Linked DNA regions of Lepisosteus oculatus. Each later gene encodes a partner of the first gene's protein in a complex. Links are inferred from orthologs where the notes say so. Each region holds a gene or a part of one and is shown in the gene's direction. Other genes may lie near its edges.

Region 1 (4,010 bases):
TTCCAGCTCTCTAGAGCTAGGCTCGATGTACTTGGTGGACCCAGTTATTTGAACTGGAGGGGAAAAAGTATGCTGTATATGGGATATGATTTTTCAAATGTATTTTATAAACTATGTGGGATTTGCTGGACTCTGGAGCAAGAGGTGTTCCAGTGTTGTACTGCCTCTCCTCGACTGCTTCTAACGGGCTGGGTAGGGAGAATGGGGGTGAGGGTCAGTAATTGGGCAGCACTGGTCTCCTGGCAGAGGTGCAGTGCCGGAGGAAGACACGCAAGTGGCACTGTGGCACCAGCCTCTGAGAGAGTCCATGGTCCTTGCTAGAATTCCCATAAGGCTTGTCCAGGATGGTGGTCGAGACGTGCTGCCAGGGCCAGAAGACACCTGCTGCTCTGCCCGTCCTCCCTCCCCCAATCAGCGCCGGCGTGCTGAGTGCGTCCAGGCCGTCCCGGAAACGGCTTCACGGGTTCGGGCCTGCGCGCCGTCGCGGAGACAGGCAGCGTCGGCCGCGGGCCGGGTGTCGGGCTCCGCGGTTCCGCCGGGATAAACGTGCCGCCGGTCCCTGAGGAGGGCGAGGTCTTCGACTCCACTCCTGGGCTTCCTGGAGTCTGAGCGCTGGGGCTCCATCCCGCGACCCAGCGGCAGTCTCATCCTCCTTTTCTCGAGAACCTGGTGTCTTCTGGGTTTTTTTCCCAAACTGATTAGTCATTTAAAAAAAAAGATATCTTCTGACCTAAGCGGGATTTTGCTTGACCCTTCATTCTCACTTTTTAACAGATGATAAAACTTAGGGAGAGGAAAAAATAGTTTCCAGGGACCACTTTAAACATGTTGCCAAGGTACCTTTCGGAACATACGAATATAGGAGACCCTGGGGAAATGCACGATTACTGCGTAAAAACGCTTAGCGACCAAACTATTTACGCTCTCTGTGCGATTTCTGAATCTACTCTGGTGCTAGAGTACGGGTGAAAGGAGGTTATTTGGTAAACGACAGTGTACTGCTCTTCAGGTGCAAGACGTGAGCGAGCCGCGTACGCGCACTCGGCGCTGTTTGAGAGTAACCCCATCCCCCACCTCGTCCAACACGTCCGGCTGAGCCGCACCGGCCGGCCTCTTTGCCGCGGCGCATTCCGCCTGCAGTGGTGCCGGCACTGCGCCTGCGCTCGGACAAGCCGGCCGGGTTTTAGAAAAAACAAAACAGAGAGAGAGAGAGTGGAGGAGGGGGGGCGCTAACGCTCAGACTCTATGGTTGGTGTGGCTGGAGAAATACAGTCAGGCGACAGAGAGAGGGAGGGGGGTGCAGCCAGCAGGGAGCTCTTTGTTTCCGCAGAAAGCGAGGGGGAAGACGCGCCGGTGAGACCTGCATTTGCCCTGAGCTGGTAAGCGCCCCTCGATTATTGCTCCGTTGAGTCTCTACGTGGCCTTTTCACGAAAACGGGTCCTATTTTTTGCCTTTTTTCCCCTTCGTTCATTTGTTTGCCGGTCTGGAGCTTTTCCTTCTTTCCTTTTCCTCCTCCTCCTTCCCCTGCGCTCGGCTCGTCAGCTGAAAGATGTTTCTCCTTGGTCCGTGTGCTTGTGAGCCACCGCTCAGCTCGAATGAATGAAATTATTTTATGGGGGAAATACAGACCGGGAAGGGTACGGGAGGCCGGGCGGATCAATACACTTAAAAAATAACGTTTTGCCTTTTTTCGCTGCTGGGATTTCTGAAAACATCAACTTAAAATATATATCCAGCGTAGGCTAAGCGAGAGAAACCAGCATGGCCGGCTGGTAGCTCTTTGTCTCCCGATTTTCACCCTTTGTATCCAGCTGAACGAAATTCCAGTTTTTATTCGAAAAATGAAGAATTTAAATACCCCCTTCTCACACGGCCAAGTTCAGAGAGACATTTTTTTCCTCCATAATAAAAGCGTCTGATAATGATGTATAGGCGTTACTGTGTTTCTTTTTACAATGAGAACAAGCTTTTGTGAGGTAGGTTAATATTGACTTTTTCCGATGCTGAAATAATTTAAATGTATTTATTCTATTACTGTACTCATCGCACCTAAACACGAATAAACGCCTTTTCAAAGCCGCCAGACTCTACTATGGCTGTTTAGACGTTTTTTTTTCCTTTCCTTGTTGATGTTGGTAATGTTGAGACTGCCTGTTTTGTTATTGGACAGACATTTTGTGTTTATTCCAAATTATCATAACGTGTTTAGGATAGAAGATACAGAAGAAATATTTAAATGTATATCTCCCCAATCGGTTATAAGTATCAGGTACGTTTTATCTTTAGGAAATGTCATTTTTATACTTTGAAAATGACTGTATCTGTCCCACCAGTTCAACTCGAGTTTTCAAATTGAAGGATTCTTTAGGATTTGAAGCCTGTGCATCTGAGGGGTTAAAGGCCTCAAAATTAACATTTTACTTAACAAATCAACAACACAGACGTTATTTAAAAGTTGTAATAGCCCCGTCGCACTCTACCTTTCTTGTAAAAGGTTGTAGTCCGGGATGGTGTTTTAATTTTTCCCCATTTTAGCTCTCGGTAAACTTCCCTGTCGCCAATTCTGTCCTGTCTGCAGTCGGTGTATGAACCATTCTTAAAGGTTTACAGCTACCAGGGTGTGTAAAAGTCAAGTGTTTAATTGAGAATTTTCTATCATTTGGAGAGCTTTTGTAAGCTTTTGAGTCCACATAAAACTCTCTAGCAGCGTTAGGTTGTGTAGGTAAATTTGGGATGCTTTTATCAATGAATATTTGGGGGGTCCATTAGAGTTGCAGCCTCCAGCTACACAAAAAAGTGCTTTTGTAGGGGGGGCTGTAGCCATGGGTTCAGGGAACTCTAATCTGGGTTGTCAAAGGAAAATACGTATGTTCTGTTTTCCTTACTTACGCCACAACAGTGGTTTTAAACCAAACTCTTCTTTTCTCGGAGAAAGTGTGCCGGCCCGTTGCGCAAGGTCTTGGGTTCCCTTCTGCTTTTCTGTATTATGCACAACCCCAGTCCTCTCCGTGCCCACCCCTTGTGTTGTTGTGACCTCCATGTGTAAGTGTTTTATTTGCAGAAAATGGAGTTTTCTCCAAGGGCTTGTTGTAAGTGTGTGATGGACTGGTGTCCCACCCAGGGTGAATCGTTCCTTGCGACTGTTGCTTGCAAGGATAGTCTCTGGGTCTCGCTGCAACCTTGGGCTGGATGGATAGTTTTCCCGCTGCCAATCTGAAGAGGACTCAACAGGAAAATGGCAGTGAGACCACCTCATCAGGATGCGTTTGTGCTAAAATGCTGGATCGTCACAGTGTCTTTCACTTTCAAATGATCGTGCCCGTCAAGATCAACAAGATGCGCTGATTTACTGAGTCAAGAGTTGCTCGAGTTGGGTCATTCACATTCTATATCTTTTTGTGAATCGGATTAAGATATCCAGTTCTGTCTCGTAAACAGAAGGGAACTCTGAACGTGTAGCGCTGCTCTCTGCACAAAAGGTGCAGCATATTCACATCTTCACCAGTTTGCAGTTTGACCTGTCGGTCTGATGGAGAGCCCAGACATCTGTTTGTGACTGATGAGTCTGTATCAAAGTTCTAGTATTCAATGCAAGAGTTCTTCTGGAAAAAGGGACCCGACCGTGTCGAGAGGCAGTGACACCCACATATGGAAAACTTTCTGAAAGCTTGTTGTTTGATATTTACTTACAACCACTAAGTCCATATGTGGATATATAGGGGCAGTACTTTGTATCGACGCAGAGCAATATGTGGATTCACAGTGGTAGGGCTTTATCTGCAAGCCCTTCTGGAGTGGGTAGATGATAGCACAGTCTAGACAGACAGCTGTGGCAGGTCCTGTACCTGTTGATGAAGTTGCAGATGTAGTATATAGGCTCTCCTGCGAAAAGCTTTTTCAGTGTTGATTGTTTATGAGAAGGGGTCGGGCAGTATATTAGCTATGTGGATCATGCCAATTCTCTGGAGCCCTGTTCTGTAGTGGAGCACCTTGCACTGACGAGCTTGCT
Region 2 (4,010 bases), on another chromosome or scaffold:
ACTGCTGGCGTCCACATTATTGCGGATTTTATCTTCATGATTCCAATCGCTATACATTTGGGCCCGGGCGCTGCCGGCCTCTCCCTCGCAGCACGGAGCTGGAGTTGCGGCAGCGGCGGTAGGAGCAAGCACACAAGCTCCGTCGCTGTCGGCGAGCTCACCGCTGCCTCCTCCCCCGCTTCCCCACTCGCCGCTGGGCAGGGTCCCCTCTGCCCCGCCTCCCCCACACGCTTCACTGCCGCTCATTTTAGGCCAGGTAAAATAAAAATACATCGCCGTATCTGGTCGTTGGCATGGCCAGGACTGGTAGGACAGTCAAGGCTCCCGCCGCCCTGCCTCCGTGTCCCGCAGAGACTGGAGCTGTCCTACCCGTCACTCCCACTGCCTCTCTGCGTTTTGTGCTGTACATGGTATGAGGTCTGTCAGCTCACTGACGACCAGCGCGCAGGCGCCTGTCACTACTCTGCAATCGGGGAATATGCCGTTACCTTTAAAGCTGCAAGATGAATATTGCCTTGTTACAATAGTACGATACAATAAAAGCACTTCTGAGTTTATCGTAATTGATTTTGCAAGTATTGTTGTAAACCTTCAAGATTTCTTCAAGATTCTAAACAAGAGGTACAGAAGAGCTCATAAAGAACTTTATATTTTAGTAGCCTACTATCCATTTTTGTAGGCTTATTACAAAATATTATCAGGTAATTAATGTTGTGAAGATATGTTTGTTTGGGTTTGCTTTGGAATAGCTACAAAGGGCGGTGTTTTTTTAACATCTTTCATAGTTTCCATCCTGATATATCATATCTTCTTTTTCTTACATTTGCATGGCTGTCAACCGTAATACTCAGTGCAATATACTCAACTAATACCCCGACACGCCCAAAGAGGGCTCCACAGCCGAAACGTTGTTTCCTTTCCTCTTTTCAGCATGGAATAAACTTTTAACTTGTTTCTTTGCAGCCTACGCATGCTGTCGCAGCTACCTACTTAAACTACTCAACAAATATCCTGTTATACAGGCTGAATTGCGAGATGACGGAGAATGCTATTTAACCCAGATTGCTATATTGAGATATTTTAGGAACAAGTAATAGGTTTATTCCATGCTGGAAAAAATAAGAAAGGGAACACAACGTTTCGGCCGTGGAGCCTTCTTCAAGTGTGAAATATCTCTAAAATACCTCAATTTTTAGAGATATTTTAGAGCATTGTATTACAGACATGTCCCTAAAATGAGTGTGAACTACATTTCCCATTAGCCTTCACTCCTCCCGCGAGGGAGTACCTTCCCAAGGAAGCCCCTGCGAAGCAGGTTGGCGGCTGCGCAGTTCGGTTCTAGGCCTTGAATTGGGAGCTAGGCGGTTGGCTGGGGAGGAAGCGAGGCGAGTAGCACAAAACAATGGCGACAGCAGCAATTGCAGCTGGGGGAGCGGGCTCCGGGGGCCCGGCGGCCGGGCAAGGGGGCAGCGGTGCTTCGACTCTCTCGGTGGGCAGAAAGAAAGATGGGGGCCCGTCTGCTAAGTACTGGGAGAGCTCGGAGACGGTCTCTCAGCTGGAGTCGGTCCGGCTATGGATCGGAAAGCACTACAAGAAGGTAAAGCTCTTCCACCTCCATTGATTCGGCGGCTACATCCGTGCGCCTTGCTCGACAGAGAGGCGCCTTTTGTACGGGCAGTGAAATCGCGGAGGGAGTAATAATGCTCTTGATTCGTTTGGTTTACTTAAGATGGCCCCATTGCAAGGGAAATCGGTTCATTTTTTAAACCGATTTGCGTTCTATCCAGCAAGCCGCTAAACGCAAGCATCGAGGCTGTTGGTCAGTTGTTTTGATGGTGAGGGATGTTGTGTGGGTGACGGTGAATTCAAGTTTTTTAAGTAATTCTTTCTATAATGGAGTGGATTTTTGTACGAAAGGTGGGCAGATAACCGTGATTAAGGGTGGCGCGTTAATGGATCGAAGTATTGGTGTTAATTTTGTGTTTTTCTGAAGTTGGTCGCTGGTCAGCAGGCAAAGGAAGTGGATTTGCCTGGCAATGTTGAAGCCTCTAGGGGAGATATTACGGTCTCACCCAAAAAGACACGGCAAAACACATTTCCGTGGAAAGCGCTGTGAAACTAAAGGTGTGTTTAGGTTAATGTTGATGTACAGCTTTGGTCGAGGGCCAGCAGTTACGGAAAACAAAACCCTAGGCCACACGCATGTGACAGCTGACTTCGTTTCCAAAGTCAGCCCACGGAGAAAAAAGAAAAGGGCCCCGGGTTCGGTGGTGTCGGCGTGCCGGCCGCGGGCGAGGTGGAGGCGGCCGCAGGTGGTGCTGCTCCTCGCAGTTGTGTGACTCCGGGATGCTGCCGCTGTCCAGACACAGCCCGCAGGCTCGAACAAAGAGTCCCGTGTGGATTGTCTGCACGGCAGCTGCGTCTCCTGCCTCCTCAAGCAGAGAAAACGCTTTGTTTCGAGAGCCCCACCGCCTTGGCCGGCATTGCTGGATACACGATATCGTAATCGAAATGCGAGTGTGTGTGTGTGGGGGGGGGGGGGGGACGTGTGATTTTGTAGGTTGTATGTGTGGTATCACAATTTGTACAGATGGCCGACTGGTATTTTTAACGGAGCTACGAAGCAAGGGGGCGGAGATGAGCCCAGATCTCGTGTTGCTGAGCGGTAGTTGCAATTCGACTCCAAAAGCTGCTCTTGATGCATTTTGATCGATTTGGAGTTGAAGGAGATACGTACGTCCCCCCTGCAGATTTACGTGGGAAGGTTACCAACTTGAAACATCCAGGTTTTGACTGGATGCATAAGAGTGCAACCCGTAAAACCCGAATCGGATTAAACTGCAGAGAAGTGGGAGTTTATTTCTCCTATCTATGCTAAAGCAGTGCGTGTCTGAAAGAGCTTCCGGGCGCTGTAGTTTGACAGATGTTTGCTTGTGGCTGTGTCAGTAACGTTTCCTATGCTTAAAGAACTGAAAGGTGGATAGTGGATCAGCTGATATTAAATGATTTGAAGAGTTTTGTATTGCTTGGTTGTTGGATTGCGCTAACCTTTATCTTAGTTCACATGGCTTTTGGGTATTGTTTCTGGTGGCTGTGTTTCTTCTCGCAACAATCCAGACTGAACCTTTATAGACATGTCCGATTACCGTTTTCATTAATAAGTTGAACTGTTTCATCCAGAGGAACTCGTGGATGACTCTGTAGGTACTCCAGAATAGATACGTCTGCGTCTCGCCCAGTGGCCGCACTGCAAATATCCTCCAATGCAAAAGGTCACAGTGTGTGGTCAGTCATATTTTGTAAGAACAATGAGAGAATAAGGGTTTGTCTGAGTGCTGCTGGAGTTCCTGTGGCTCAGTCTGGCCTTGCCAGGGATGTTTAATCATCCATCCAGTTTCTAACTCCTTCGTCCCGTTCAGGATAGCAGGGGAGCCAGAGCCTGTCTTGGCAAGCAGCAAGCAAGAGACAGGATACACCCCGGATGGGGTGCCACTCCATTGCAGGGCAAGCAGGCACAAACACAGATACACACACTCGCACCTAGGGCCAGCTAACCCGCCAGTATGTTTTTGGACTGTGGGAGGAAGCCGGAGCACCTGGAAGAAAGCTGTGCGAACGGGGGAGAACATACAAACTCCACACAGATAGCAATTTCTAGGATTAAGGATGGATTATAGGATGTGATTTACCATTGATCAGTGAGATTCACACCATCCGCTGTTGCACTAAAGTCCAATCCATCATTCAGGATCCCAACCATACTGGCCACAGACTGTTCTCTGGGAAGTGGTACTGCACTATTAAAACACAGACCTCTAGATTTAAGAACAGCTTCTATCCTGCTGCACTACGCATCCTCAACAGCTAACTGCAATGCCTCAGACTCAATACACATCTGCACTATGCACTTTTTGCATAGTCTACCATGTTTTGTTTTTCTCTCACTACTACATAGTTATTGTCCCACAACATATTTATTGTTCCTGTTATTATGTTTGTAATGTACTGTG
Region 3 (4,010 bases), on another chromosome or scaffold:
TCAAAGCGCTTTACAGGTAATGGGGATCCCCTCCACCACCCCCAGTGTGCAGCCCCACCTGGATGATGCACCAGTACTCTAACCACACACCAGCTCTCAGTGGGGAGGAGAGCAGAGTGCTGAAGCCAGTTCAGAGATGGAGATTATTAGGAGGCCATGATTGGTAAGGGCCAATGGGAAATTTGGCCAGGACACTGAGGTAACACCCTACTCTTTTTAAGAAATGCCCTGGGATTTTTAATGACCACAGAAAGTTGGGAGCTCGGTTTTACGTCTCATCCAAAGGACATTATTGTTCATGATGGCCCCTAATTCCCTTCAGGAGTTTGATATATTTATCGTATATACTGACAGTGACGGTGGCTTTCACTGGGTAGGGCTTAGCAAATGAAAGGAAAAAACAACAGCACCTGAATTATAATAATAAACATTAGGACTCAACTGAATTTCTCTCTATATATACATCCTTTCATGTTTAAAGAAATCAAAATAGGAATGAAGACAGGACAATTTTTAAGATCACATTTTAACAACTGATTTCTAAAGGCAAAGACAGAAAATGATTTAAATGTTGTAGTGTTGACACACTCAGTCCCCTCTGAAATCCAGCACGCCGTGGCCTACGTGAAGCTTCAATTTTTTATTTTTCCAATCTCCCTTGTCCCCGGACCTGCAGTGTCACCCAGGTGAGGCAGGACAGTGCGGGATGACGTGAGACCCCTTCCAAGTGTACAGCGCCCTGCGACCCTTTAGAATGAGAAACCCTGCAGTAGAGCCCGTTCTTATTTTTAAGTATTATTAGCTAAGCATTTGAAAAAGCATTTGAAAAATTCTTCATTATCGATTTAAAAAAACAAAAATTCTCCAGTGTATTTCTCACACAATCCATAACATGGACTTCACGCAAATTCTATCTGAGAGTCAAGAGCGGCACTTTCGAAAAACAAAAGAACGTTAAATCAAAGCTCAGTTAGTATTGTCAAAAACATATATATATAATGAAATATAAAATACAAATTATTTTTCTTAGTCTTTTAATTAAGATTTTTTTTATTTAATTCGCCTCTCTCGCCCCTCGTAGATCTCCTACCTATCTCTCCGGGCCGGTTTGAAACAGCGAATCTCCCGAGTTTAATCGAAGGTTAGCGTGGGGGAGGCAGAGGAAGTGGTGCGAGCGAACAAAGGCTGTGTGGGGGTGAGTGTGTTTTAGGTTCATTTTCACCGTTTTCTACAAAATGTCCAAGTGAAAACTGGCCAGCAAGTGACCCAAAAGTAACCACATCCCAGGCGTTGTGCTGCTGTGCGTGACCATCGACATAGTTTGGCGTATTGGTTTATCTCCATCCCTGAGCCGCCGGAATGTCTGCCGCCATTCATTTGGTGTTGCTGCAGAACATCTGTCATCTTATGGCCTGTTGTTTAATTTGCTTTTAGTTTGATTTTTGTTTACTTGTTAGTATCCAGAGCCCTTTAGAGCCGGCGTTCATCCAAGATATTGTTTGTAGGGGTCAGGAAGATTAGTGTGCCGGTAGAACTCGAGGTTTTCTTTGTTATTGTGAGGCCTTGTGTGTACAGACAACGAGACGGGTCAGTGAGCAGATGTATACAAGCACAAGTCTCTTGAGCGGTGATATCCTCTTTGCAAGGAATGAGCTGTTCAGAGTAAGATCGGCACAGTGTGTTGTACAGTGCTGTGATGAACGTGTCGTTCTCTGGTGTAATAATAATAATTATTCAGGTGTTACTGACAGAACTGCATGTCTCTCTCGTGTTTGTGTTGTAAAGTCTGCTTTATCATATTTTCTTTGCTAGTGAGAGAAAAGCGCCTTTATTTATTGTATATGTATCTGGGCTGCTTTGAGGCTTTGAAATGTTGTAGTACTTTGCAACGAAACAGCTGCCACTGCACAGAACCGTGACTTGGCATCATTGGCGTCTCTAATCAGACTGGCAGGATTGGTTATCATGAGTAGCTCAATATCTCCGTATCCATACCAAACAGTTCAACATGCTGTATTATTTTCTTTTCCTTTTTTTGTTCTAAAAAGATTTATTTATTACAGAACCAATGACCGGAATAGCCTGATATCCTCCATCCATCATCCAAGATGTCAAGTAAGGAAAATTAAATTTCAGTTCATGTGGTTTGATTGTAGTATCAGAAGAGTACAGGTCTCCCTGTCGCCTCCAGTCTCCCCTCCCTGCTGGCCTTTCCAGGCTTGTCCAGAGCTCCAGTCCAGTTCAGAAACTCAGCATTTTCACTGAGCAGGCATTACTCTTGGCCCGCAGGAAAACGTTTTGCTTTTTCTGTCTAAGCAGGACGATGTGCTGTTTGCCAGAACACAAAATGGTAGAAATAAAATCCACATAAATTATTTTTGCCGTGTTCCAAGTTCAGCATTCACAGAGTAGTCCCGCGTTTACAAAAACACCATGGGTCTCTTAGAGCTTGTTTGTAAAAAACAGATTTTTAATTTTAAAATCCCCTTTAATTAATTTTGTTCTGTCCTTTGTCGTCCGTTGTTTTGCGGACAAAAAGAGACCAGGAAGAGTTCAAGAGGGGTGTAACCGGTTTATAAAAGATACTGACATTGAGAATCTAATCCTGTCTTCATGCTTAACCTTTAGTTTAAATGGGCTGTGCGTTAATTTAAAAAGTTTTAGGTGAGGCTGATTTCAGTGAGCAGAAAGGAGTGTTAAAGCTCAAGTGTGTTCTCAGCAATAAACAGACATTTACTTGGCATTGGGCTGACCAGAGACTGATTCCACTTGAAGGTTTTTTTAAAACTTTTTCTGAAGGTTGCTTTGCATTAAAAAAGCTAAATAGTGACCTTGATAGTTTTCTTCAGGAATTAATCTTTCCACTAAATGGGTGAAGAATTTCATAGATAATCCTATGAAGACTTTTCCCTGTGTGTTTTGTGTGTTATGCAGGTCAGCTCTTTGGGGAATATATCTTGTTTTTAAGGTGTGAGTAGGGGGTAGTAAATGAGGTATTTTTGTTAGGGTTGCATGTGCTAATTTCTGAAACACATGGGAAGGGATAAAGGTGATTTCTAGGAGAAAGCAGCTGCTTGAATGAATACTGATAGGCCTGGAAGGACAGAAGTGCCTGGCGGGGATCCCAGCCAGAGAATATATATAGGACTGCTTGGTTTAGCTGATCCGGCTTCAAAATCAGACAGTTTTTCCATTTATTGAGATCTGGACCTAGTCCTTTGCATCGTAGTACTGATAACTGCTCCCCAGTTCAACGGGCATGGTGCCTCTTCGGAGAGTTTCGGTGGGCTGCTTGTAGCTCTGCAGGGTGATCGGTGCTAATTCAAGCAACTCTGCAGCCAGCCGCAGTGTGGGGGGGAGCCAAATCGCCCTGGGGTGTGCCCCGGTTTGCCCCATCCCCACAGGTGCGTTGTGAGCAGTGCAGTAATGGCTCCGTGCAGCTCCGTGTGTCATTAATTTCTTTCCCCTTTTCTTTCATGCAGAAAGGCCATCCTATGCCCCTCCCCCTGCCCCAGCCCCCACCACAGTAAGTATTGCAGATGCAGCACAGAGACAGACGAGGCGGCTCCTTCACTGTGCAAGGGCCTCTGAACCTTATAACAGGCTGGGATCCGGCCTTTGAGTCCGTAAGAAATGTGTTCGAACATCTCAAAGAGATGCAGTCTTCTCCCTCGTTCCTCCATAAACCACTAACAGGAGGAGGTCCCTGCAGGGCTTGAATTTTCCACACTTCATGTGCTGGTGCTGCAGGGCCAGTGAACTGTCCCCTGCAGTTACTGTACTGTGGGTGAAGCGTTCAGCTTTCAAATGCCATTAGTCCTCAGCAGACACCAGTTATGTGTGACTGTAACTCTAAAGTAATGCCTTAGCTGTGGGTATGTTTCCTGTTTGGTTGTAAGCGAAGGTCGTCCTGACGCAAGGAGTGTCAATAATGCCAATGTAGATCACTACCATTGCTGCTTTGAAAAAAAAAATGGTTAGTTGCTTTTGCATGACTCCGTATGCAGACC

The links.
Region 2: smarca4a (region 1) and smarcc1a share a complex: the UniProt entries of both Homo sapiens proteins name them as parts of the BAF complex. The link is inferred for Lepisosteus oculatus from reciprocal best matches to the Homo sapiens genes SMARCA4 and SMARCC1.
Region 3: smarca4a (region 1) and smarce1 share a complex: the UniProt entries of both Homo sapiens proteins name them as parts of the BAF complex. The link is inferred for Lepisosteus oculatus from reciprocal best matches to the Homo sapiens genes SMARCA4 and SMARCE1.

The regions. Positions count from the first base shown.
Region 1 is NC_090706.1:16,566,202-16,570,211, reverse strand, and holds the start of smarca4a (transcription activator BRG1), read left to right. Parts: upstream 1-1,144; 5' UTR 1,145-1,379; intron 1,380-4,010. UniProt on the Homo sapiens protein: ATPase involved in transcriptional activation and repression of select genes by chromatin remodeling (alteration of DNA-nucleosome topology).
Region 2 is NC_090705.1:20,050,086-20,054,095, reverse strand, and holds the start of smarcc1a (SWI/SNF complex subunit SMARCC1), read left to right. Parts: upstream 1-1,332; 5' UTR 1,333-1,402; coding exon 1,403-1,597; intron 1,598-4,010. Other genes in the region: KAT8 regulatory NSL complex subunit 1, read right to left, coding at 1-273. UniProt on the Homo sapiens protein: Involved in transcriptional activation and repression of select genes by chromatin remodeling (alteration of DNA-nucleosome topology).
Region 3 is NC_090723.1:9,906,948-9,910,957, reverse strand, and holds the start of smarce1 (SWI/SNF-related matrix-associated actin-dependent regulator of chromatin subfamily E member 1), read left to right. Parts: upstream 1-1,105; 5' UTR 1,106-1,195; intron 1,196-2,063; 5' UTR 2,064-2,108; coding exon 2,109-2,115; intron 2,116-3,482; coding exon 3,483-3,526; intron 3,527-4,010. UniProt on the Homo sapiens protein: Involved in transcriptional activation and repression of select genes by chromatin remodeling (alteration of DNA-nucleosome topology).